3 linked regions of the Oreochromis niloticus genome follow. The protein of the gene in region 2 interacts with the protein of the main gene of each other region in a pairwise test. Links are inferred from orthologs where the notes say so. Each region holds a gene or a part of one and is shown on either strand. Other genes may lie near its edges. The genes, in order: rnf8, mad1l1 and usp15.

What was found.
Region 1: the proteins of mad1l1 (region 2) and rnf8 interact in binary tests that used the Homo sapiens proteins (3 or more experiments, as listed by UniProt). The two-hybrid records come from large-scale screens. The link is inferred for Oreochromis niloticus from reciprocal best matches to the Homo sapiens genes MAD1L1 and RNF8.
Region 3: the proteins of mad1l1 (region 2) and usp15 interact in binary tests that used the Homo sapiens proteins (3 or more experiments, as listed by UniProt). The two-hybrid records come from large-scale screens. The link is inferred for Oreochromis niloticus from reciprocal best matches to the Homo sapiens genes MAD1L1 and USP15.

The regions. Positions count from the first base shown.
Region 1 is NC_031980.2:14,134,024-14,141,781, reverse strand, and holds the start of rnf8 (E3 ubiquitin-protein ligase rnf8), read right to left. Parts: upstream 3,959-7,758; 5' UTR 3,850-3,958; coding exon 3,709-3,849; intron 3,503-3,708; coding exon 3,374-3,502; intron 726-3,373; coding exon 271-725; intron 165-270; coding exon 1-164. Other genes in the region: aida (axin interactor, dorsalization-associated protein), read left to right, coding at 5,291-5,397, 6,113-6,179, 6,267-6,320. UniProt on the Homo sapiens protein: E3 ubiquitin-protein ligase that plays a key role in DNA damage signaling via 2 distinct roles: by mediating the 'Lys-63'-linked ubiquitination of histones H2A and H2AX and promoting the recruitment of DNA repair proteins at double-strand breaks (DSBs) sites, and by catalyzing 'Lys-48'-linked ubiquitination to remove target proteins from DNA damage sites.
Region 2 is NC_031971.2:11,902,460-11,910,217, reverse strand, and holds the start of mad1l1 (mitotic spindle assembly checkpoint protein MAD1), read left to right. Parts: upstream 1-2,974; 5' UTR 2,975-3,130; intron 3,131-3,631; 5' UTR 3,632-3,632; coding exon 3,633-3,776; intron 3,777-3,876; coding exon 3,877-4,017; intron 4,018-4,091; coding exon 4,092-4,271; intron 4,272-4,367; coding exon 4,368-4,492; intron 4,493-4,615; coding exon 4,616-4,697; intron 4,698-5,701; coding exon 5,702-5,832; intron 5,833-7,734; coding exon 7,735-7,758. UniProt on the Homo sapiens protein: Component of the spindle-assembly checkpoint that prevents the onset of anaphase until all chromosomes are properly aligned at the metaphase plate.
Region 3 is NC_031981.2:6,280,632-6,288,389, forward strand, and holds the start of usp15 (ubiquitin carboxyl-terminal hydrolase 15), read right to left. Parts: upstream 5,011-7,758; 5' UTR 4,972-5,010; coding exon 4,883-4,971; intron 4,191-4,882; coding exon 4,063-4,190; intron 3,759-4,062; coding exon 3,628-3,758; intron 2,895-3,627; exon of another isoform or gene 2,836-2,894; coding exon of another isoform or gene 2,803-2,835; intron 1,519-2,802; coding exon 1,392-1,518; intron 552-1,391; coding exon 406-551; intron 1-405. UniProt on the Homo sapiens protein: Hydrolase that removes conjugated ubiquitin from target proteins and regulates various pathways such as the TGF-beta receptor signaling, NF-kappa-B and RNF41/NRDP1-PRKN pathways.

The sequences.
Region 1 (7,758 bases), on a different chromosome or scaffold from region 2:
CCATCCTGTGCATTTTAGCTCTGAGTGTATCTAGCTGACCTCGCAGCTCCCTGACCTGCTCCTCTCTGAGCGGGTCAGCCTGTCGGGGCTCCCCCTCCAGGGAGGCGACATGCCTCTGGGTGTCATCCACCTGCTCCCTTAAGAGCAGAATGTTCTGACTGTACCTGCAGACAATAAACACAGGAAGACAAAACTTCAGAGTAGTATTTTTAACTCACTCTTTTATTACTGGGTACATTTATTTCTTATCTTGCTGTTACTCTGGCTTACATTTGCAAGTTGTCCAAGTCACGGGTAGCGCTGGAGCCATCTGAAGGTCGTTCTGCTTGACGGTCATCTCTGCCAGGTCCGGTTCCCTCTGGCTTTGTGTGACTGAGTCGCTGCTGACCTTTTAGCAGAAATAAAGGGCAGGGCACTGCCAAGGACTTGTCTGCAGAAGAGCAGCGGTAGAGTTTGGGCTTCGAAGTAGATGGCTCCACTTCTTCCATGGTCAATTTCCTCTTGGGCTTCTTAGATATGTGGGCAGATTTTGAAGTTACTCGTTCTACCAGTTTCTTTGCCAGGAAGCATTTAATGTCTCTGAGGGGCTCCTGGACGAGGACATAGTCAAACTCTGCTTTGTTTCCAATTACAGGAACTCCGAGCTGTATGGAGTCTCCAAGCCTGAGCTGACGGGATTCATCAGAAGGCAGACGAGTTCCATTCACCCACACACCATTGAGACTCTGAGGAAAAAAAACAGAACCAATATAATACACTGGTACAGAAACATACTTAAAACTGAATTAACTTGAGATTTTAAATGCCCAAACTTAAGCTCAGACATATTGCCAGTTGCTGGAAATAACAAGACTGTAAAAAGGCATTTATGGATAAGGGTCAGGAATATTGACTAGTTATAAAATTATAATTTTTGTGCACAAGGTAGATAACAAAACCAGCAGCATTTATCGCCTCAACTAATTTGCCCTGGACAGGCCTTTAAAATACAAACTCATCACACGGCTGAAAGGCAGCACATGCAAATATTAAGTGACCCACTAAATTTCTTGGACTTTGTAGCATCTGGTGTGACCCAGAGCCGTATCCCAGCTGGGAGACAGGAGTAATTTTCCTTTTGTGGGCATGACAGAGGTGGTCAAAAGATGTCACGAAGGTACTGTGGATTGTTTGTAATCCATGTGTCTTGTACAGGATGTTCACACAACAAGCCTACACTACTTAAACATCCTGTCTCCAAGACATTTACACATGCTGGAGAGTAAACTGTTTAAGGATATTTCCTCACACCGAAACAATTTCAGGAGCCGTCTCAGCGGGTGAGTCCACTCCTTCGTGTCCAGGACACTGAAACGCTTTTCAAACATGCAACATTTTACAATGACGTCATTCTGCCGTTCAGACTGTAGGTCACGTCCACGTTAACGTTCCCCACCACAGCTTCATTCAGAGAAACATACAAAAGGGATGGGCACAGAGCCATAGTAGGCATGTGATTTTTACAGCATGTCCTAGATTAATACAATGAAGATTTCTACAACTTGCAGTACCAGTTATATTCTGATAGCTGCTTAGCTGCTGCTAAAAATATAAAACTGAGATGCTGTGTAAACACAGGTACACAGTATCATTCTGTGTTAGAGCCTGATTGATCCAGTCTGTCTTGTGCCACATGAGTTAATGTTTTTAGCTCTCCTCTGAGAGGCTCATGGGTAGATCCTGTAGCGGTTTGATGCTGCAGGAACGTAATAGACGCAAAGGAAAAGACACGGCTGGAGGCAACAATCTGGCTTCAGCTTCCGTCAAACTTCTTTCAAACCCAGATTAAAGCTGTTACCGATAAGCCCCATTAATGTGACCCATAATAAACTCAATGTGATGAGGGAGGTATGTAATAGACATTTCAGTCTGTAGCTGGTGTGAAATAGTAAGCACAGCAATTATTAATTTTTGTACATGAGATTACCAAAGACTACATAGTTGAGTTCAGAAAGCAAAATGAAAGCAAGTATGACAGGGAGTGATTTATTCATGAGCTGCACACTCGGATAGGCTGAGGCTGAAATGGAACAAACTGACAGGTGTTACAACCGAGAGCTGTCCAAACCTGACAGAGATAAATTTGGGACTTTTTAAGCAGATCCAGATAAAGACACTGAAATGAACCCATAACTGGAACTGGTATTTTTCCATTGTATTGTACACCAGGATGTGTTGCATAAGTCAGTGCTAAAAATGAACACATTACTGATGCTTGTTGCACTTTTGATTCCCTACTGCAGAGAACTTCAAGTCAGTATCACCACTGGATTTGAATTCTTCTCTCAAAAAGGAGAACTTTCAACACATAAGAAGGCATGCACAGAAGATGTTGGTCCTCTTTGAATCTAACTTTGTATGTAAACAGACCTTCTCATTAAGAAAGTTAATCATATCCCACCTCAGTGCTGACACTGAACCGGACTTTAACACACTTGTTAAGGGCCAAAACAGACTAGATTTCATTCGGTGAGTAAGGAAAGAAAGGCAAAACTGCAGATGAAGCAATTTAGACTACAAGTAAAATACCATAGCATGGAAATTTTGCATAAGGATGCACACTGTTTTAACAATCTTTGGGGAAATGTTCATTAAATAGAAATGGTAAAATATTGGCGCTTTAACTTAATCTATTTCACATTTTCATTGCCTAACATCTAATGTGATTCAATGTTGCTGTTGAAAGTCCTGAACCTTTGGCCTTCTGCATTTTAGTGTACCTCAGAACATAAAACAGTATATGATTAGTATGGTATTGCTGTCCACCTTTCATCTTATGTTGCTAGAGTTATAAGGGTTTGAAACTTTTGCTACTTGTCTATGTATAATTTGTGGTATCTGTTGCACAGTTTGCAAAACTTATTTTGTTGCCATTATATAAAGATGAGCGTGATAAATAAATACCATGAAATGATATACAGAATAACATAAACTTCCTACAACACAAATGGGCAAAATTGACATTCCCTGACATCCTTTATTTGTGATGAACACATAAATACATAAAAAAGTTGACAATGCTGATGCTCAAGTGTATTTATGGCTTTATGTCACAGTAAACCAGACTGACTCAAAACTTCACCAAATGCCAACATAATACTGGTGGGTTTTAAAACATGGACCCATTCTTATCTTCTAGATCTTCCCAAACTAATGGGGTTTAACATAATTTAGTAATATGTGCATCATGTTTTAATTTCGTGTGGCTCTATTTACTTTATCCACGTCAGCATGCCTCCCTTAGAGAAAGTGCAGCCCATCCCTGCACAGGACTTGTACCAAAGACCTCTAGCACAGCCTTTAAAATATATTTCACAATAAAGCTCGTTGTCACCTTCTTGTCTGTCACTGTCCAGTGGCCGTCTTCACTTTGTTTGAAAGTGCAGTGCAGTCTGGAGATCATCAGGGGACAGGCTGGAGACAGTAGTTGGTAAGTTACATCCACACCACGTCCAATGGTGATCTGCACAGCCAAAAATAAACACGTTAGTTAGCTCCACTCTGCATCTCTCCAGTTCTATAAAAAACGGACAGGGACACTCTTCAGCTTAAAACAATTCTAAATTATTAACCATAAATTGAGGGTAATGTTCCCCCTACATGTAAACTGGAATCTGCCGTGAACCTGAGCAAGCTTCATGTTAGTATAAATATAGCACGTTAGCTAACATTAGCAAGCTGCACCTCTGTGTTTTCGAACAAGCGAAGCCAGTCAGAGTTTCTCCCGACTCTCATCAGACAAAAAACCTCCGAGTCCGGACATTCATCGTCTTCAACCGCACAGCAATCCGCTGCCGTCTCTTTATCCATCTTATCTCATTCTATCAGCGGCCAAGTCGTCCGAAAGGACACCACTAACTGCGTTGTTTCAGCTCCTCCGCCACATCCCGACATACTGGGAGAAACCGGAAGACATTTCATTTTCTTTCAAAATAAAGGCCACAGATGTGCTTCAACGCTTATCTTTGGACAGCCCATGAATCACTTGGATCCCTCTAAAATCATTTAGTTTTTTTATTAATTCAAAATTTATTCAGCTTTTGCAGACCCAAAGTAGAAATATTACGGTGTCCATGAACATATTACAGTAGGGACAAAACAAGACGTAGAGTTTTATGTTTCGTCACTCATTCAAGTAACTTCTTCAGTTCACACAATGCATTATGCGAATATACTGTTTATAGAGTTGCTAATAAGGTCTGGAATTTAATTGCCTGCATGACTGAGCAACCATCAAGACAAATAAATAAATGAAATAACACTTTTAAATTTTACCCTGAACCAGCTGCTTAAAGTAAATACACCCATTTAGTTATATTAACACTGAAATACTCTTTTTTTTTTTTTACCCTCTCCACTTCATTTTCACCTCAGGAAAAAAAAACAAATCTTTTACAATTGAAGGTCAAGAATTATAATAATTTATAATTATAATAAAAAGTAATCATGTGGACCCTGTTAGTGTTGTAATAACACATGTTTAACTTCAAACCTTTTAATTATTCCTACATATAATAAGTTTGTGTTTGTTAGTTTGCATTTTGTATTGCCTCAAGACACCGTAGACGTCTATAATTTCTTTTGTTTTATCTCTTTTGGTAAGCACATTGAGTATAAGTGTAAGGAATGGTGCTATATAAATAAAACTGACACTGACACTGATATTACACAGTCACAGTCATATTGTATTTTATTATAAATATTATTTGTTTTTTCGTTAGAGCTTGTGTTTACTGTTATTTACCATTCAAAAGCAGTGTAGTGAAAGATACTTATACCTAAAAAAAAAAAAGAAGAAAAAAGTGGAGAATACAACAACAACAACAAAAACCCAAACAGCCAAACATGAACATTGTTACTTTGCAGTATTTTAACCGTAGTACTGCTTCATAACTGTTGCTGGTGTATACAGTTGTTAAAAATCCCTGCACCTTTAAATAAAATAGCTCTTCTTTCTCCCCGCAGCTCTCAAACCTCTAACGCGCCGCGGTGCTCTTCGTCCATTCGGGCGACCCCGAGTCCCGAAACGCGCGCACCCCGAGCTCCAGGCGGGACTTCCTTTCTCCTGCGGATGCGCTGATATTAGGGTGAGCAGGCAGAAAGGGCTTGGTCGGGGTGTCACCGGTCTATCCGCGCGCCTCTGCACAGCAGATGACCTGGCCGACGACTCCGCTGCCGCTGAAGCCCCGTAGATGAATCTCCTCCTCGGCTATGCTGCCCTGAGAGCGCCGCGAGTATCCGCCCCGCCAACATGTCTGATGTCAACAAGACTATTCAGAAATGGCACGCCAGTTTTAAGAAAGGCACAGACTTTGACTCGTGGGGACAATTAGTGGAGGCTATAGATGAGTACCAAATGTAAGTTGCATTCAACATGTGTGTCCTGTGTGTCCACAGCGCTGGTTTAACCCGAACGCAGTCCGGGCGCTGTGCTTCTTCTTTTTTTTATTCTTTTCCTTTCTCTGGGTCGCCTGTCCCTAAAATCTGCAGGGAAACATGTAGGAGACAGTAGGTGCAAGAAGTTAGCCCGTGTGCTGTCAGTCAGCTCTCGGAGCAGTAAATAAACCCTACCCATCCATGACGTGATGTGGCAGTTGTTGCAGTGGGGAGCAGATGTGTTGCCTGATGCATCCTAGCTCCGTCCACAGCAGCACTTTGGAGTTTAAGGGAGAGTCCGTCCATGTAGCCTGTCATGGAAAATCGGTCGGAGCTGCGAGCAGTCTGTTTCATTATGTGTCATGCAATGCAGAAACGGGCCAGTATTCCTCAGAGTGTTGGGAAACAGTCAGCCACACCCTCTCATTGTTATGGGTGGGTTTCATCTGCTGAGTGAGGAATGGTTTCTGCTTCTCAGACCAGATCTTTGTCTTTGCAATTTCCTTAAAATGTGCCCAGCTTCTCTCCCAGTTAATAGTTTATTTAAAACTGCACTAACAATACAAAAATCCAGATCCATGCAGCAGCTTCTACTGTCCGCAGGGGGGCGCACAGACACACACCTTACCTTATAGGAGTCTTGCAGGGTCTTGCAGTGAATCATTAACGCGTCTGTGTTTCATGTGGGTTCGTGTAGTTTGGCAAGACAACTGCAAAAAGAAGTCCAGTCAACAAATTCATCAGACTTCACCGAAGAGCAGAAGGTAATCATTACATCCGCCTGCAGCTTCTGCACCGGAGTGTCTGTCACTTTACTTAAACTAACAAGTGTTTTTTTTTTTCTTTTAAAGAAAACTCTGGCAAAGATTGCAACATGTCTGGAGATGAGAAGTGCCAGTTTGCAGGTTTGTATAGGAGTCTGCATGATTAGTAGCTACAGAAAGGAGGCAATGTCCAGGTTTTCAGAGATGCTGAGGTCATCATTATTATATAAAAGTAAAATTTGAGCATCAGCAGTTTTACTTATGCATATAACGCTTTTGAAAGTGGTCTTGAGCAATAGTTCTCCAGGCTTTCTGAAGGTCTTTCAAAGTTTGTCTTTGGACATTGGCCAATGGTCCTTGTACCTGACCATTTCCAAAGGGAAGTTTTTCCTTGTTAAGTCACTTAACACTAACCTGTGACTCATTCAAGCATAAAAAGGCACCTAATTCAAGGGACAAAACGGTCTTGTATTTACACATATCAGGCAACTTAGCAAAGAAACAATTTAAAATGTTATCTTTAGACACTTTGAGTTTTAAAAGGCATAAAATTGTGTTTGTTGGACTGATTCCCAAAGAGCTATTAACTGAAAAAGTGTCCTTAAAAAATAAAATATGGAAAAGTGTCAAGTATAGAAGAAAAGAAGAAGTGGCAGGCCTGAAATACAAAACAGTGCTTCAAAGCCTTAAGAAACAGGAAAAAATCCAGCAAAAACCTGACACAGGACCTGAGAGATCCATCTGACCCTTCAGCTGAGCCTTGTACTGTTCAACAAAGCTTCATCAGAAATGGTCTCAGTGGAAGGGTGGCTGTCAGGAAGGCGTTCTTAAGGAAAGGAAACGGGGAGAAAAGGCGAAGGGATGCCAACTTAAACAAGAACTGGACTGAAAATCAGTGCCAAAAGGTCTTATGGAGTGATGAATCCAAGTTTGACATTTTTGGTTCAAATCGTCATCGGTAAGTATAGAAGGGGTCAGGAGAGAGGTGTAGCGGTGGGTGTCTACACCCATCTGTAAAACCTTGTAATGATTTGGGGCTGCGTTTCTGCCAGTGTGTGTTAGGGATCTTGTTAAAATCGATGGAATAAGAACACAGAAAAGTACAATCAGATTCTGGTCCGTCCAGAAAGTGTTTGATAATGGCTTTATGTTTCTGCCCAAACACACTGCCAATGCAGGAAAAGTATTCCTGAATACAGAAACACACAAAGAGTCACCGTCAGTCATGGATTGACCTCCCCTGAGCCTGAAGCTCAACATTAATGTGAGATAAGTGTGAGATCGTCTCACATTGAACAGAAGACGACCAACTTCCAAGAAAGAGCTGTAAATGTCATTCAAGAAGCCTGGAGAGCTATTTCTGAAGACTGCCTAAAGAAACCATAAGAAAGTGATCATAAATCTTGACTTTCAAGCTCGTTAGAGTTGTTTTTGCCTTGTATGCTGTATGTTTAAACATTTTTCTCTTTCCCATTATGAATAAATTAGGGATGGCTCGAGACTTTTGCACAGTGCTATAAAAAAAATACATTCACTTCCTGGGGAAAAACAAATACTGAACATATCCTTTGTCTGGGTT
Region 2 (7,758 bases):
AACCTGGTTTTAAGTGGTCAGTGTTTTGCTCATTCTAGCCAAATTCTTTAGTCTATAAATTAGGCTGAATCTACAAAAACCCAATAATGCAATGCTGTGCTTTATTTTTGAGGCATGAAATAACATGATTGGCACTGATGCATTGTTTCAGGTCTGTTATTTACCCGCTGATTAATTAGGTAAATGTAAAAGAGTAACACATGGAATGTTTATCAGCTATTTTCTGGCCTGTTGATAAGGATGAGGAGGATTATTGCCTTTTAAAAAGTGACTATCGAGAGAGCCTGAAGCGGTTCATTTTGACTTCACAGCCAGAAAATGTCCAAAAATGAGGTGATTTTTTAAAAAATACTAAATGACAGATTTTAAAGTCTGTGATGTCACTGCAGAGAACAAAAGCATTAATTAGGTCCAACAACATGAGTGAGATTCGAGAAATAAATATCACTAGAGTGACTAAGAATAAATTCACAGAGAATAGATCTTTGAAGGAAGCTTTAGTGTCCAAATCAGAACAGGTCATAAAGTGTTCACTTCCATCTGAAGTCGACAGCTGTGCAGCCTGCTCTGGGGCAGGATGATTTAATGGAGGAGTACGAGTACCTGGGCGTCCACACTGACATAGGCTGAAATGCAAGCCTAACACAGAGAAAGTGCACAAGTAGGGGCTCTTTTTCATAAAGAAGCTGAGATCCTTCAATATGTTCAGCAAAATCAGTCAGCTGTGGCGAGCACAGTGCACTTTGCTGTGGTCTGCAAGGGAAGCTGGTGACACCAACAGACTGTATAAACTGATTAGGGAGGATAGCTCTGTGATTGGATGCAAACTGGACACTTTTGAAGCTGTGGTGGTGAGGAGGTCACTAAACAAACTGTGTTCAACATGCATAATGCATGCACCCTGTGCACCACTTATTGGACAGGTAGCAAAGGACCTTCTCTAGCAGGCTGATTCAGCCCTGCTGCTAAGAAAAGATTTAGGAACTCTTTCATACCGCATGCTGTCACCAGTAATACATCATGTGTGTCTGGTACAGAGTCATCTGAATAATAATGCATACTATTCATTTTAATATTGTATATAATATTATATATATATATATTCAATTCTTGTCATTATTTTTTGTCACCTGGCTGCAATGCTGTCTCTTAGCTTCCAGGACCACAGCACTCCTGGAAAAGATGCGAGTGGATACCAACTAATTAATTGTCCCTGGAAGATGTATGGCACAGCAGACCAGTGAAAAAAGCACATCATATCCACAGACTGTGACCTGCCCACAGCAGCACCCTCTTCAGCAACCAGAGGGAGCAGCCTGACACTGAAGAAAGAGGTGTTTTTACAGTCAAGATAAACAAGTTTCAGCAGGAAGAATGAAAACACAGATTTATGCACATTACAAAACATTTTTAATAACTTTATCAAAGTGAAATATTTTCAGAAGCAACTGTATGACTTACCCTTTTACATATTTATAACAATTTTAATGGTTTGATGTTGAAGTATATAAAATGATTCTATCTGAATTAATTTTGCTCATTTTGCAAGATCCTCTTTTCTCACTGATGATGGACCTTTGTAAACGGTGAGTGTCACATTTATTGAGTCCTTTTTCAGAATCAGCTTTGTGGAGATATGCTTGGATGAGTGCCTATATTTCAGTAATGTTTTAAAATGGCTAGATATGAACATTGGCTCACCGTGTACAGTTTTGGCTTTTTTTTAAATGGGTTATGAAACTGAATAAAAACAGAACAGAAAAGAATTTGGGAGCTGTTAAAGTAAAAAAGAAGAGAACAACTTTAATATACATCATCGTAGTGTGATTCAGAGTGTTATAGCCCAGAGTGAATGTGGTTTACATCACTGTTTATCTGATCAATCAATCACCACTTTAGTTATGTTTCTTGAAATGAATTGAACTCAACTGAATTAATGCAGGAAATCACCACAGGATTTGGGACGCTGGTAGATAGCAAAACAGCAAAGTGGCTATTCACACTAAATTTTGAAGAACAATAATTTAATGGAATAAAATGAGTACATGGAACACAGTTTAAATTAAACTACTATCATTCTCACACAACCTGAGGATCTGGAGGCATTCAAGAATTTGTAACAGGGTGGACACAATTCGACCAGGGGGCAGTAGTCCCCTAGTTTGAGCCAAGTCTCAGTGAAACAGAAAATGTCTAACATGTGAGAGGTGATGGAATCGTTAGGAACAAATGATTTATTGGACAAAGATCTGCTGTTAAAAAGGGTGATAATTGCAGGAGAGTGAGGTTTCAGACACATAGGCTAACAGGACACAATAATGATCGGGATCAATAAAATGACTCACAAGGCTGGAACCATCATTGGCCATAATTTGGAGTCAGTGAGGGACAGGAGGTCACTGAACAACTTGTCTCTATCATGGAAAACCCACCACACCCACTCTGCTCACATTTCTGACATAGCCAAGCTCCTCCTTCACCAGACTGACCCAAAACCCTGTCACCAGATAACAATGCTTCAGGAAATTATTCCTACCGATCTCTGTAAAACTGCAAAATAACTTTTATTTATGTGATAGCTGAACACAGTAGTCCCAAACATATTACATAGTGTATAGTGTACATATTTATTAATGCAATTTGCACTAAGATTATTATTAAACCTGGGTTTACAAATATGGTAAAGTGGAGGTGGTTGACCTCTAAGGGTAGTAGTGGTATAACAGAGGTTGTGCAAATGGTAAAATTCTATCTAATAGTAATAGTAAGAAAACAGCTCTACCCGAATGGTGCCGGAGTTAACAGGCTTTTCCGAGCATAATTGTATTTATTATTAGAAAACCAGAAATCAGAGGGGAAAAACAAACAATAAACAAACTAACAAAGAAACACGGGGTTTTAATTAAACAGTGCACGATTTATTCGTTTTCCCTATAAAAACAAACAAAAAAAGTTTGCTTTTGATACTCGCGATGGTACCAAATCTCGCGATACTACGTGCATCCCATTCGAGCTAAACTGGAGGGATTTCTGTAGTATTTAGTGAGCAGCTAACACGTTAGCAACACCGAGATAACCTATTTGCAAATAACTCGCTCCTTAAAAATAAAGAAACCAAGCCGGCTCAGAGGTGAGGACGTATTCTTACAAGCGATACCCATTTGTTTGCTACTTAAACGTAGCGTAGGGGGAATAGCTGTAGAAAACAGTCATGGTAAACTGAACTCTTGTCTAGCCTGTGGTGATACAGGAGTGAAGCAGTTTAAACTGTTCTTAACAAACCAGTGAATACCTTCTTGAGATAATTCTTGATAATTGCCAAATATGGCAACTAACGTAAACATTAGCTTTTGGTTAAGCTACTAAAGTTGTTTTCGTGTTTGTGCAGCTGAGCAAAGAAGCTAATACCACTTTTATCTTACTTTGCACTTTTACGTAGTTAATGCTAGGCACCTGTCTGCATATAACATTAACCTGTTAACATTTTTATCGTAAAGTTATAAAGCATGAAAATGGTGCACTTTAGAATTACTTAGCTAAACTTTACATGGCCGTTGTGAAGTCTTTTTTTTTTTTTTTTTTTTTTTTTACTCGTACTGTGAGCCTTTCGTTTGTGTGCTGCATCTTCCAGAATGGATTTAGAAGACGACACGACCATTTTAACAACCCTGAAGTCCTTCAATTCCTTCATCAGCCGCCCCGAACATCCACAGCGGCTGTCAGAGCACTCAGCAGGGAGTGGAATCCTGCAGAGTCAGTACAAGCGCAGCATGGAGGTACATACAGAAACTGTTTGCATCAACAGGGGGCAAAAAAGCTGAACAAAAATAGCATCAGCATTCAGCCTCCGCACTTACTAGCATATCCTTCTTTTAGCTTTTAGAAGCAGCAGAGAGGGTTCACTCCAAGAATCGCTACCTGCAGTTGGACCAGGAAAAGAAACAGATGGAGCTGAGTCACAAACGGGCTCGTTTTGAACTGGAGAAGGCAGCCTCAGACAGCGCACGAGACTTGGAGGTACATGCCATATATACTCCTTTAATACCACATGAACAAAGCATCAGATAGCTCACCACCTTGTTATGTTGCAGCATGAGGTGGATCGGAACCAGGAGCTTTTGGGACAAATAAAAAAGCTGGAGGAGAGAGCGGAGGAGGCGAATAAGAAGCTAACAGAGCAGAAGGAAGCAAATGATGCTCTCCAGATGAACCTGGAGGGTCTAAACAAGACACTGGAGGAACGAGATGATAAGCTTGGCGCAGCTAACCAGGTGCACGCATGCTTGTAGATTTGCACGCACAGTTATTTTGCCAGTCTGGTAGTGCCTCTTATCTTATGCTGGATTACCTCTGTTATCGGTTTGCAGACCATCAGCTCTTTGAAGGATGAGATCAGAGAGCTCAGGCAGAAGATTCAAAACCAAGACTCAAAAATCTCTGGTCAAACGCTCGAAAACCAGGAGTTACAGGAAAAGCTAGATTTGCAACAAAGGTACACACACACACAGACAGGGACTGACACTTCTTTGCTCTTTTTCATGCTAAAAAATATTGAGCTGTACTGCTTAATATAAATGCTGACCATGCAGTTTTCTCTGATTGCTGTTATGATCAGGAAGTATCAGGAAGTCTCTCAACTTTGCCAGAGTCTCCAAGCTGCGCAGTCGTCATGCTCTGAGCACATAATCAAGATTAAGGTACGAAATGCTGTCGCTTCTATTGGGCTCCTTGGGTTTCACTTCAGAGTTTACATGGTGTACGGATTTGTCTGTAGTTCAGAACATTCCAGTGTCCACAGTTCATGGAGAGGAAATAGTTGAAATAGTTAAGAATAGCAGTTTGTACATCTTTGCACTGATGTAGATGGTGTGGTTAAACAGCGTTATGCAGCTCACTCTACGTCAAATGTAAACCTACTAAATATGATTACGATTTAGACTTATAACCAATGCAGGCAAGATCATGTGCAGTATATCTGTTCAATTTTCTACATATCAGCTTTTTTGTTCAAACTACCTCTCTCCTTCAAATTGCATAATATCAGTTTAAATGTATTTTTTCCCCTCATAACATACACTTATTGAACATACCATTTTCAGCACCTTCAGAACAGCCTTAATTTTTCAGAGCATAGATTCAACAAGGTGTTGGAAACATGCCTCACAGATTTTTGTTCATATTGACATGATGGCATCACACAGTTGCTGCAGATTTGTCTGTCTGTTGGACTGAGGTCTGGGGGCTGTGGAGTACACTGTCATGTTCAAGAAACCAGTTTGAGATGATTTGGAGTCTTGTGACATGTCATATTATCTTGCTGGAAGAAGCCATCAGAGGTTGGGTACACTGTGTTCATAAAGAGACAGACATGGTCAGCTACAATCCTCAGGTAGGGTGTAGGTTTAAATGATGCTTAGTTGGTCCTAAAGCCCCTTTTCCATTAGTATTCACTCGGATCAGCTCGACATCGATCAGGCAACATTTTTCTAATCTTCTGTTGTCCAATTTTGGACAATAAAAGATTGCTGAGTCGTTGCCACGTGATTGGCTGATTAGATATTTACATTAATACAGGTGTAGGTGTGTGTGTGTGTGTGTGTGTGTGTGTGTGTGTGTGTGTATTACAGGTATTTGTTTCCATAAAGTGAATACAATCTGAAAATTGTATTACTGGTGAATTTCTCACTTTCTAATTTGGCAGGAGTTGGAAAGGCGGCTTGCGTTCCAGGAGCAAGACTTTGCCATTGTGAAGACTATAAAGTCAGAGGCGGCCAGAGTTCCAGATCTGGAAAAGGAGCTGAAGCGCCTCAAAGATGATAATGCCTACCTCAGGTTAAATACATTTTTGAAGTTTCCTTAACATGTAAACTCATTACACTCTAGTGCAGGGACCTTTCAATCCACAAGTTCCAATTCACACACATATACCACAAGCTCTTTTCTTTAACAAGTGTTTTTGGTATTTGTAATATGTGTTTGTGCCTGTATCGTCTCTAAAACCTTACACTATATGTTTAGGTTGATTCTGTTTGTACCACGTAGTTTGGATGTTACTGGGCATTAATGAGCATACAAGCACTTTGAAAGATTAAGTTGGATAACAGAAGATCCATTTGTCAAGTAACAGCCAAACAGCTTGTCAGACTAAGTGGAGAAATTCAGCAGTTGGTGTGTTTATCCACTTATCCTTTCTGTTGTATTACAGACATCTCAATTTAAAGCACGAAACTCTTTATACTTTCTCAAGATAACAGATTAAAAATTTTGCTGAAAATACCATAACTGTAACTAGGAATGTTCCTTATGCTATTCATAAGTCGATTAAATGGGGGGCGTGGGGGACTGACCAGTCTAAAAGTGCTCAGACAATCAATATACTGGCGACCTGTCCAGGGTGTACCCCGCCTCGCCCTATGACAGCTGGGATAGGCTCCAGCGCCCCCCGCGACCCTGAAAAGGATAAGCGGAAGTGAATGGATGGATGAAATTTGTGACACTTTGTGCTGTGCATACACATGCACATTAGCTTGCAAAGTGTGCCAGTGTTTTGCAGCTATCTGTCCTTGCAGATAAACCTTCACACACTTCACACAGTTATGTATTCTCCGGTCGAGTGTTTGTGTGTGTGTAACTGTCTTGAACAGGAACAAAGCTAATTAACCATTTTTTAAAATTTATTTGTTTATTTTTTAAATTGGAATATTATATTAGTAGTGTGGTGAGGGTGTGAGGGGACATGCTCCTCACACTCTGCCCATCTCCTATAGAAAATTAGTAAGGAAAACAAGGAAGGGATGTGCATAATGGAAAGGATCATCACACTAAGATTATTCTGGCAAGACTTAAATGGAATTCTGCAGAGCTGCACTGGTTAGGAGGACTATCACCCTTCTTACTTGTTTACATGTTTTGAGACAGAGAGGGTGACTGGGGGGCAAGGGGCTGCCATTTACTGAGAACTCCTGCTTATCATCTCAGGGCCAACAGTCGACTGGCATACATGAATGAAAACTCAATAAGTACTTGTTCATATTACTGAGTACTGCTGGTGCTGGATAGCAAGAGGAGCAAATATTCCAGGTTTAGTCTGGGAAATGTGCCTGAAAAGAAAGACCATGTGGATCAATCAGGGTTTGGTCTGATCTTCCAAGGCGAGTCTATTGTCTGGTCTCTGATGGTAGAGCAGTCCTCAAACTGTGGGGAGAATCTTGTTTCACATTGTCTGAAACAACAGAAGGAAGATTCTTCTTATATCTCCTAATCAGTCTCTATTGTCTGGACCGAGCTCTTTTCCCTTATTCTTTCCTCCTCTGCAACCTTTGCATTTTTTTCCCCCTAATTTCTACCGGCTTGTGTCAGCATAATCAGCTCCCTGGTGTAAACAATGTGAGCTGGGCAAAAATAGTGTTGTTGATTGAAGTGGGTAATAACATGGCCAAAACATATCGGAAGTTTCTCAAGTAGAGTTCACAGAAAAGTCACCCTAATCCAACAAGTGTGACTAAAGTAAAGAAAACATGAACTAGTGAGAGCAATATATTATAGCTATAATGCACAGTTGGTACATTGTTACGTGCATTTGTCGTCAGTCACTGTAATGTTAATATTGTTGAAAACGGGTTTCAAAATTGCATCCGAGTGTGACTGCAGCCAGGGACTGAAAGTTCCTCCATGTCTTGCATTAAACACTGAGCTATCAGTTTAATTTACTTTTTTTGTCTCTGTTCTGTCCAGGGAGAGCAGAGAAAATTGCAGCCT
Region 3 (7,758 bases), on a different chromosome or scaffold from region 2:
AACAACACAATCTTGGGGTTTTCCAGTATCTGCAATAGCTGTTTATTTTAATTTTAGATAGGAGGAGCAGAGATAAAAAGAAAAAGAACCACCGCCTACAGATATTTTGATTGATCAACAAAAATAACCTCTTGGATACAGATTCCAAGTAGATCAAGAAAAGACAAGTTTTCTGATATGACCTGAAAAAGTACATCTGCCAAACAATACGAGGGAAACCATTTCTAACTGAAGCTAGAACATCTTTTACTGAGCTCAGGAATGACGGTCTATAGAGCAAGCCATATTCTTACACATCTGACAATTTTCTGAAATATCTTGCCTCTCTTGAGAAAATGAACCCTCCAGAGTTTAAAATTCTTCTCACATAGTGAGAATTTGAGAGAAGAGTGGAAAAGTTCAAACCTGTCCTTGGTAGAGGCCGGCATCTTGGATGGTGCTGTCAGGTTTGTTGAGAGGCTCAAAGGTGTTGCTCATGTACCTGTTCCACAGCCTGGTCTCCTTCTCATCAGGGATGCTGAACAGCTTCCTCATTTCCTTCTCAATCATATCTACAAACATATTAGCAAAAAGATGCAGTTAACACTGTGCTGTTTAAAAAAAAAAAAAAAGAAAAAAAGAAGGCATTACACTCACAGAATAAAGTAAATATTTACTTAAACACAATTACTCAAAAACAACATGAGCAGAGTGTAAAGTTCATGTGTTTGAATGCACGCAGGAGGTGATTCTAATATCTGAAATCCCAAGGGTATATTTAGACCCATGTTGTATATCATTTGTACTTCCAAGAATGTTTTCCTGGCTCAGAATGAGAATTTGTGGGGTGACCATGCACATAAACACAAGTCTGTATTTTTAATCTTCGCACTTTACTGTTATCTAACTCAATAAACAAAAATGTCAATCACGCTTGAGTAAATCATTTTGAAAACACGTAAAATTTATTTTATTTCCATTTTATTTTCTTTAGCTCTGGCTGGGGGGCACAGCCTGCTGAATTATAAACAACAACAGAAACAAAACAACAGTTTTTACTTCATGTTTCAATGCAAGGATACAATAGCTAGTATCCATACACTGGCAAACAATATGGCATTTACTAGTGTGTATCTGTTGTGTCACAACTGCATAATACTTACAAAAAACAAACAACAACAAAACAAAAAAAACACTTAGTTTTATGTACAAGATTTCTTTGTTTTCCCTGCAGCAAAAAGGGGAAATAAATCATCATGTGGCAACAGTAGTTGGAAAAACTATTAATTTAAACACAAATACCACAAACAGTAAATGTATTTATATATAATTAGTGTGAAATGTGAACTGAGATCCTATAACCTTGGAATTCTGCTGAAACCAGTGCTTACTACTGCTTAGGCAGTGCCTACCTATTGTGTCAGCTTTACTGAAGCGTTTGGTGATCACATTGTCCATATTGCTGTCTTCACAGAGCTTCAGCTCGGTCAGGTACACCTCTACCTTGCAGTGCTTCACAAACATACCCTGTTCAACCACCTGCAAAAAGAGGATGATAATCAATTTACTGCTTTAAACCATGATTATCTAATGTTAAATTATTACGCAATGAATGAGGGACACGGCCCTAATTCATGAGTAACCCTTAAGATGGGTGCATACTGTATGATTTTCGGCTGTCCCACACAAAAAGATCAATCAATGTAAAAGAACTGTGTAGATAACTCAGAAATGATTGCCTTAGAGAAGTCTAACGTTTGCACTTACAACGGCCTTGCAAGGAAAAATACCCTGGAACATCAATTTAACTGTGTAAAAATCTCACAATCTGACCGTCCACTAATCAGCAAACAGGAATGTAGCACTACATTACACGACAGACAACAGTAACAAGTCAGGCTGAACAGACAGAAGTAAAACATGAAAAACTAAATGTTTAAGATTCCAACATAGAGGCAAGTTTGGCTGAGTTGTTCCAGCAGAAGCCTTTGACTGTAAGATGTTTGTCCAATTGTTATCATGGCTGAGCTTAGCTTTGACAGAAGTTTAGGCACCCAAAAAGAAACTGTGACACCAACCTGGCAAAAATAATCATGATGCAACTCTTATCTCCTTTTCATCAAATTCCTGCAAGACTGAAAGCAAACTCCTAAGTTTAATGTGCTAGAAAAAGTTTAACAAAATGGATAACAAAGCACACTAAGCTCTGCTGCGCTGGTCTCTACTCATCTGGAGTCCTGATACTTCACAGTCAGAGTGAAGTGCCTAAATTAGCAGCACCTCGTGGAAACAGCTGAGGGGTCCCAGCCTATTTATTTCACCCCTGAGCCCCTCCAACACACAGACACTGACGCTACTAAACTGCAAAAGTCCTTCACACACAGCTTAGATTCTCTCAGCACCACAACCCTCCCCTACTCAAGGCTCTTGGTGGGCTAGTACACCTCAGCGCACCACCCATCTGTCTGTGAGCTCAGTCAACGTCCAACTCACCACCAAGCTCTGACACAGTTTCTCAAATCAAAGCCGAGCCAAAACCATTTAGGCCACCCACGCCGCTTCTCCTATACTGGTTTGCCTCTCCTCACACTCCTTTGAAAAGCTTTCGCGCTGCTTCTCTCAGTGTGACCTCAGCTGGCATTCCTCCGCTTGGAAAACAAGGACGCAGGAGCTCTCCACCATTGTTGGCAATCAAACCACAAGTGGAAAGCGGAAGGAGCCACAGTGTCATACCAATGACTACAATCCTACAGTTCCCCCCAGCATACCCCCCACCCTCAAGTTGACAATATAGAAACAATAGGGTAAAAAGAAGAAGAAAACCTCCTTCATGTTGTGTCTCGCAGATCGCTCCATGTAGCTTTTCAGTCATCCAGAACGTTGCCTGAAAATAGAAACCTTGCAGCTACCCGATACGCCGCATGACATACATGGCAAAAGAGGAGGGTCAATGTAGGGGGGGAGACGAGAGACAGACTGATAGATATGGAGAGGGAAGAGGAAGTGCTTCCAGCAGCCATGATGCCATGACTAGCGAGATTTTAAGAGTTGCTTTGATAGCAAAAGTGCCATCACACAGTATTCAACTGTAATCACAAACATATAGGAATTCTTCATTTTTTTTACTCCAGCAAACCTCACATACTCTTATGCTAATATGGAAATAGATAAGCACACATACTGCGTTTCATTCATAAAAGAAATGAATGAAAGGCAGCTTTATTTTTTTTTTAAATTTCTTTGTGATAAGTAAACACCCAGTCTTTCACTATTATTTCTGAGATTCTGTGTAGTGTACACAGAGTAAATCTGTGTAAATCTACCTGACCAACCAAATTATATCAAAAATGAATGTAATGGTTAACTATTCTTTGCAGTTCTTTTTGTTAAATATCTGTCATCATAGAGCCTTTCACTATCACTGTTCAGCAACAGTGACCCAAGTTCAAGTTTCCTTTTCCAAAAGTGCTGCGTGTCTCATTTTCTCAAACAGCCTTATTAGCACAATGTTCTCCCTTTTACCCCAACACAAGTCACACTGCACATTAAATCTACTGATTCTGTATCTGAGAAAACCATCTGAACTGGCAGCAGAACAACATGTAAAAAAATCCATTCATAATCTTATGCTAATAACTGAACCCTTACCTTGCGAGCGATTGGCTCCTGACCCTCTGTGAGTCCATACCAGCTGACGAGCTTATTCCAGCCTTCTGTTGGGACCAGAATGTAGTCCAGCTCATCAATGAGGTGTTCCTTGATGGCGAGCACATCCCCATCTAGAGGGAGGGATGGTCATTCACATGCAGTTAAACAAGAGAAAGCACGTTCTCTTGTGCACATTCTGTGGGTCAACACTTACACTATTGATAACACACAAAGAACAAGGTGAGCTGGAGAGCTTTCTATGACCCCACTCTAAAGAAAGGCTACTCTCTGGTTAGTAGACAATGTTTTTTGTGTGCGTGTATGTCACTTGTCCATAAAGCTAACCTACCAAAAACTGCTTTCCCATACATTTATCATATACTTTTAGAAGGGATAAAATAGAGATCTAAAGAGATGGACTATTACTGGACTTACCTTTGAGAAGACCAGAGTTATCAACCGGTCCTGGGTAGACATTCTGGTCTCCCATCTGGTATTTGTCCCAGCTGTCAAATCCCACATATTTCTTCCACTGTTTGAACCAGTGACTGTCCACTAGGTACCTGCAGAGAAAGCAATCAAGATTACAACATCTCTACTAAAAGCAAGATGTGAAAGTCAAGAGTTAAATAAAAGGGGTGGTGGGTTGCATTAAAGTATTGGGCTATAAACCAGGTTACCTTGGGGCTACCTTGCAGTGAGTACCCGAAACAAATCTGGTTTTGGGAGGCATACATTACACAGACTGACAGTTGTAACAGTAGCTTTTAGCCGCCGTGTTGAGTTCAAATTGCTACAAGCCTAGCCAGCTGGCTCTGTGATTTTGACAGGTGTTTTTTTCCGACTCCGCCCTGCTGAAGTCGGCGGATGAACCCACTGACAGGCAAACCGCTTGGATCATCGGCAAGCTAGCCAATTAGCTGATAGCCTGATAACTATCTGTATCACTCAAACGGCATGTAGCCTTACACATCCACAGAAAATATGTGACACCGTTTTTTGGAAGTGAAGGATATAAACACCAAAATACAACATTTAAATTTAGTTTAACTGTTTTGAGTCTTAGCGTGAGCTCAACCAGCGCTAGCCTGCCAAGCTGACACATGAAGCTGACAGGCAGCCGTTAGCTAGCTCGGAGCTCACTGTCAACACGGCCCGGCCGTCTGGATTTCACATCCTCCGTGGGGTTGACAGCCTCAGCAGACCCAGCCCAGAGCCACGCAGTGCCCTTGAAAAGATCACAGTCAATTCTTACCAAGTGTCTCCCTTTCTTAGTTGTGTTTTCAACAGTGTCGCGACCTCTCCTCTTTGGGTATCCAGATCAGCCGCTCCTCCTTCCGCCATCTTTCCTTAGACATTCCCCGGTGCATGGTGGGAAAAAAAGCGGCGCGTCATAGAGGCACGTAGAGAGCGACGCCGCTGCTGCAGCCAATCATCACAGGGGAAGCGTGACACCCAGTGGCAAAATTATTCTAGAAAATGTTTCAAAAGTGCTCCATCATTGTGGATGCACGGGTTTACAGCTGAGAAAGAAACTGTGCCTTTAAAAATAAAGACCAGCAATGAGGGGAAACAACACAAGTGACACTTTTTAACACTCCGTGAACACTGTAGAAGAGAAAATCCCAATATAAAGAATCTGAACGTTGAACCATCTATAATATTGCAATTTTGGGAAAAGTACTGTGAAAGCAGAGTTTTATGAACTGCCAGTTACCTCACACTATAACATATCCTACACCTGGAAAAGGAAAACAATTAACAAGTGAATGCAGTTCCTGAAGAAAATGTGGTCTGAATGCTGAAAGCTCAATGATTTGAGTTTTCAAAGCTCTAAAGTAGTTGAATATCTTTAAAATGTACATTAGAAAAGCTGACAAATGACAAAAGAAAAATCTGAATGAATATTGAAAGCTCATATTCTTTCAATGTACAATAATAAAAATAATATGATTGTATCCACGTTTGCATATTTGCACATAGCTGTTTTATTTATTTATATATTTTTCATTTTATTATGAATTAATATTGTTTTGCTGGGCTGTGCCATGTTATGTCTGTGTTTAACTGCCATAACAATAATTTCCTGCAAAGGACTATAAAATAAAGTATCTCTCGAGCTATTGATCAATCTACAAACCTACTCCTGCAATAGCTACTCAGGTGTACCTTGATAACACACTCAACATCGTGACACAGTGGTGCACATGTTCACTGAGACTGGGATTTCTACATGACTGCAAGTCAAATAGTTCCACTGTAATAGAAGATTATGAACTTCTGAAATTTTACCTTTGCCAAATACTGCTCATATAATAATAATAATAACTAAGACAGAAACCAGTCAATATTAATAAAGCAATAACAATATATTTTTTTAAAAACTAACTGTAAACAATAATCCAACTCTGGAAAGTAACTGAAACTAAACGGGTACCTTTAATAGCATACTTTATACAAGCTAAGCACTTGCAAAGTCCGCAGATGTTATACTTTATCACTTTATAGAACATGATTTTATGAAGAAAAAAAAACATATCAGTAAAATCCTGATGTGATTTGTTGGTGATTTGTTCTCCATTTTCATAAAATTGGAGACTTTTGATTGTTACGGACTGATTTTCTTTTTTTAAAGTTACATTTGTAGCAGCAGGTGCATGTTCAAAAGACACAGGAAGCCCAGATGCTCCAGTTTTCCACTAGCACTTGAATGCTGCATGCATTTGTGGATTTGTACAAAGTTAAAGTTGAAGAGTCTCAAAACCCAACATGCACATGTGACATGTCCCTTTGTATCAGCCAAATGTATTCATTTGTATTTATTCATTTTCTAATATAAAGATTGTACACAAGTGTGTGGATTGAAACATACCTTTGGTGTTACTCAACTCCATCAAGTTTTGTTAAACCAGACAACAGACACTAAAAACTTATTATATAATTATATAATTGAAAATAGCATAATTTTCAAAATGAACTTCATGTTGTATTTAGCAGTGACTATTGCTCTCTCTTGCTAGCTATGAAAACCAATGCAGCTGTAAGGCACTTTCACAGTGGCTTCACTTTTTCAGCAGTAACTACATCCTACGTTTATATATAGTCTGTGGTTTAAACCTGACAAAGAGTGGTGTTTTGCTGCAGGTTCCAACTTGAATAACATGTTTTAGAGAAATGAACCCAGCAAGCATTTAGGTGAGCTTTGAAGTAGAAGTTTGCACTCCTTTAGTGCTATTGTCACAAGTGTTCACCTACAAGCACCAACCTGTTTTAAATCCAGTTGTATTACAAGCCAGTGTACACAAGGAATGAGGTACTATAGGTGTAAGCCTGAGTAAGATAATAGTGTGTTTAATCCACCAGAGTTTCCATTTAAATAGCAGGTAAACACAGGCGTTACTGATCACATTAGTTAAAGGTCTGTGCCTAAGCAGAAAAGAACAATGGCTGCTGTGAAAAAGACTATGCGACTCTTTTTTCCCCCCCTTAAAGCTTCCATGCTTAACATCCACATCCCCGAATCTGGATTATTTTTTCAGACTTTAGGAAGTTCCCCTCGGAGAGCAAAGAAAAAATGGTTCAGGACAACTTACAAAGTTTATTTTTCAATCCGCACTTACAACAGTAATGTTTCTTTGTACAGTCATTATACGTTACAGTACAAAAAATGAAACTACAGTTTATATACCATATTAGTCCATATCAGTATTCTGCATTTCCAAGTATTTATTCTGCATCCTATTATGTCTACTGTTAAGCATAATCTCATTTTCCCTAAATACAAAAGGAAAACCTCTGCAGTTATTTATCACAACATAACAATATGATACAAATATGACAAAACAGCCATGCAGTGTTGTCAGATACATAAAGGAGCATTAAGAAGTTGCTCTCTAAGTGTTATGGAACATCCAATGATTCAGCTGTTCCTCCCATGACTTTGCTTTTCTTGGGTTACTTATAAACTTTACCGATGGATTCCCAGACTCAAGAACAAGTTTGTCTAAATTACTTTTGTCCCTGAAAAACTCTCCTTTCCACTCTGAAAGTTCTTAATTCAAATGGCAGGCTACTTTTTTAATTTCTTCTGCCCTATTTTATCACTCAAAAATCGTCATGCCACTACTTTCG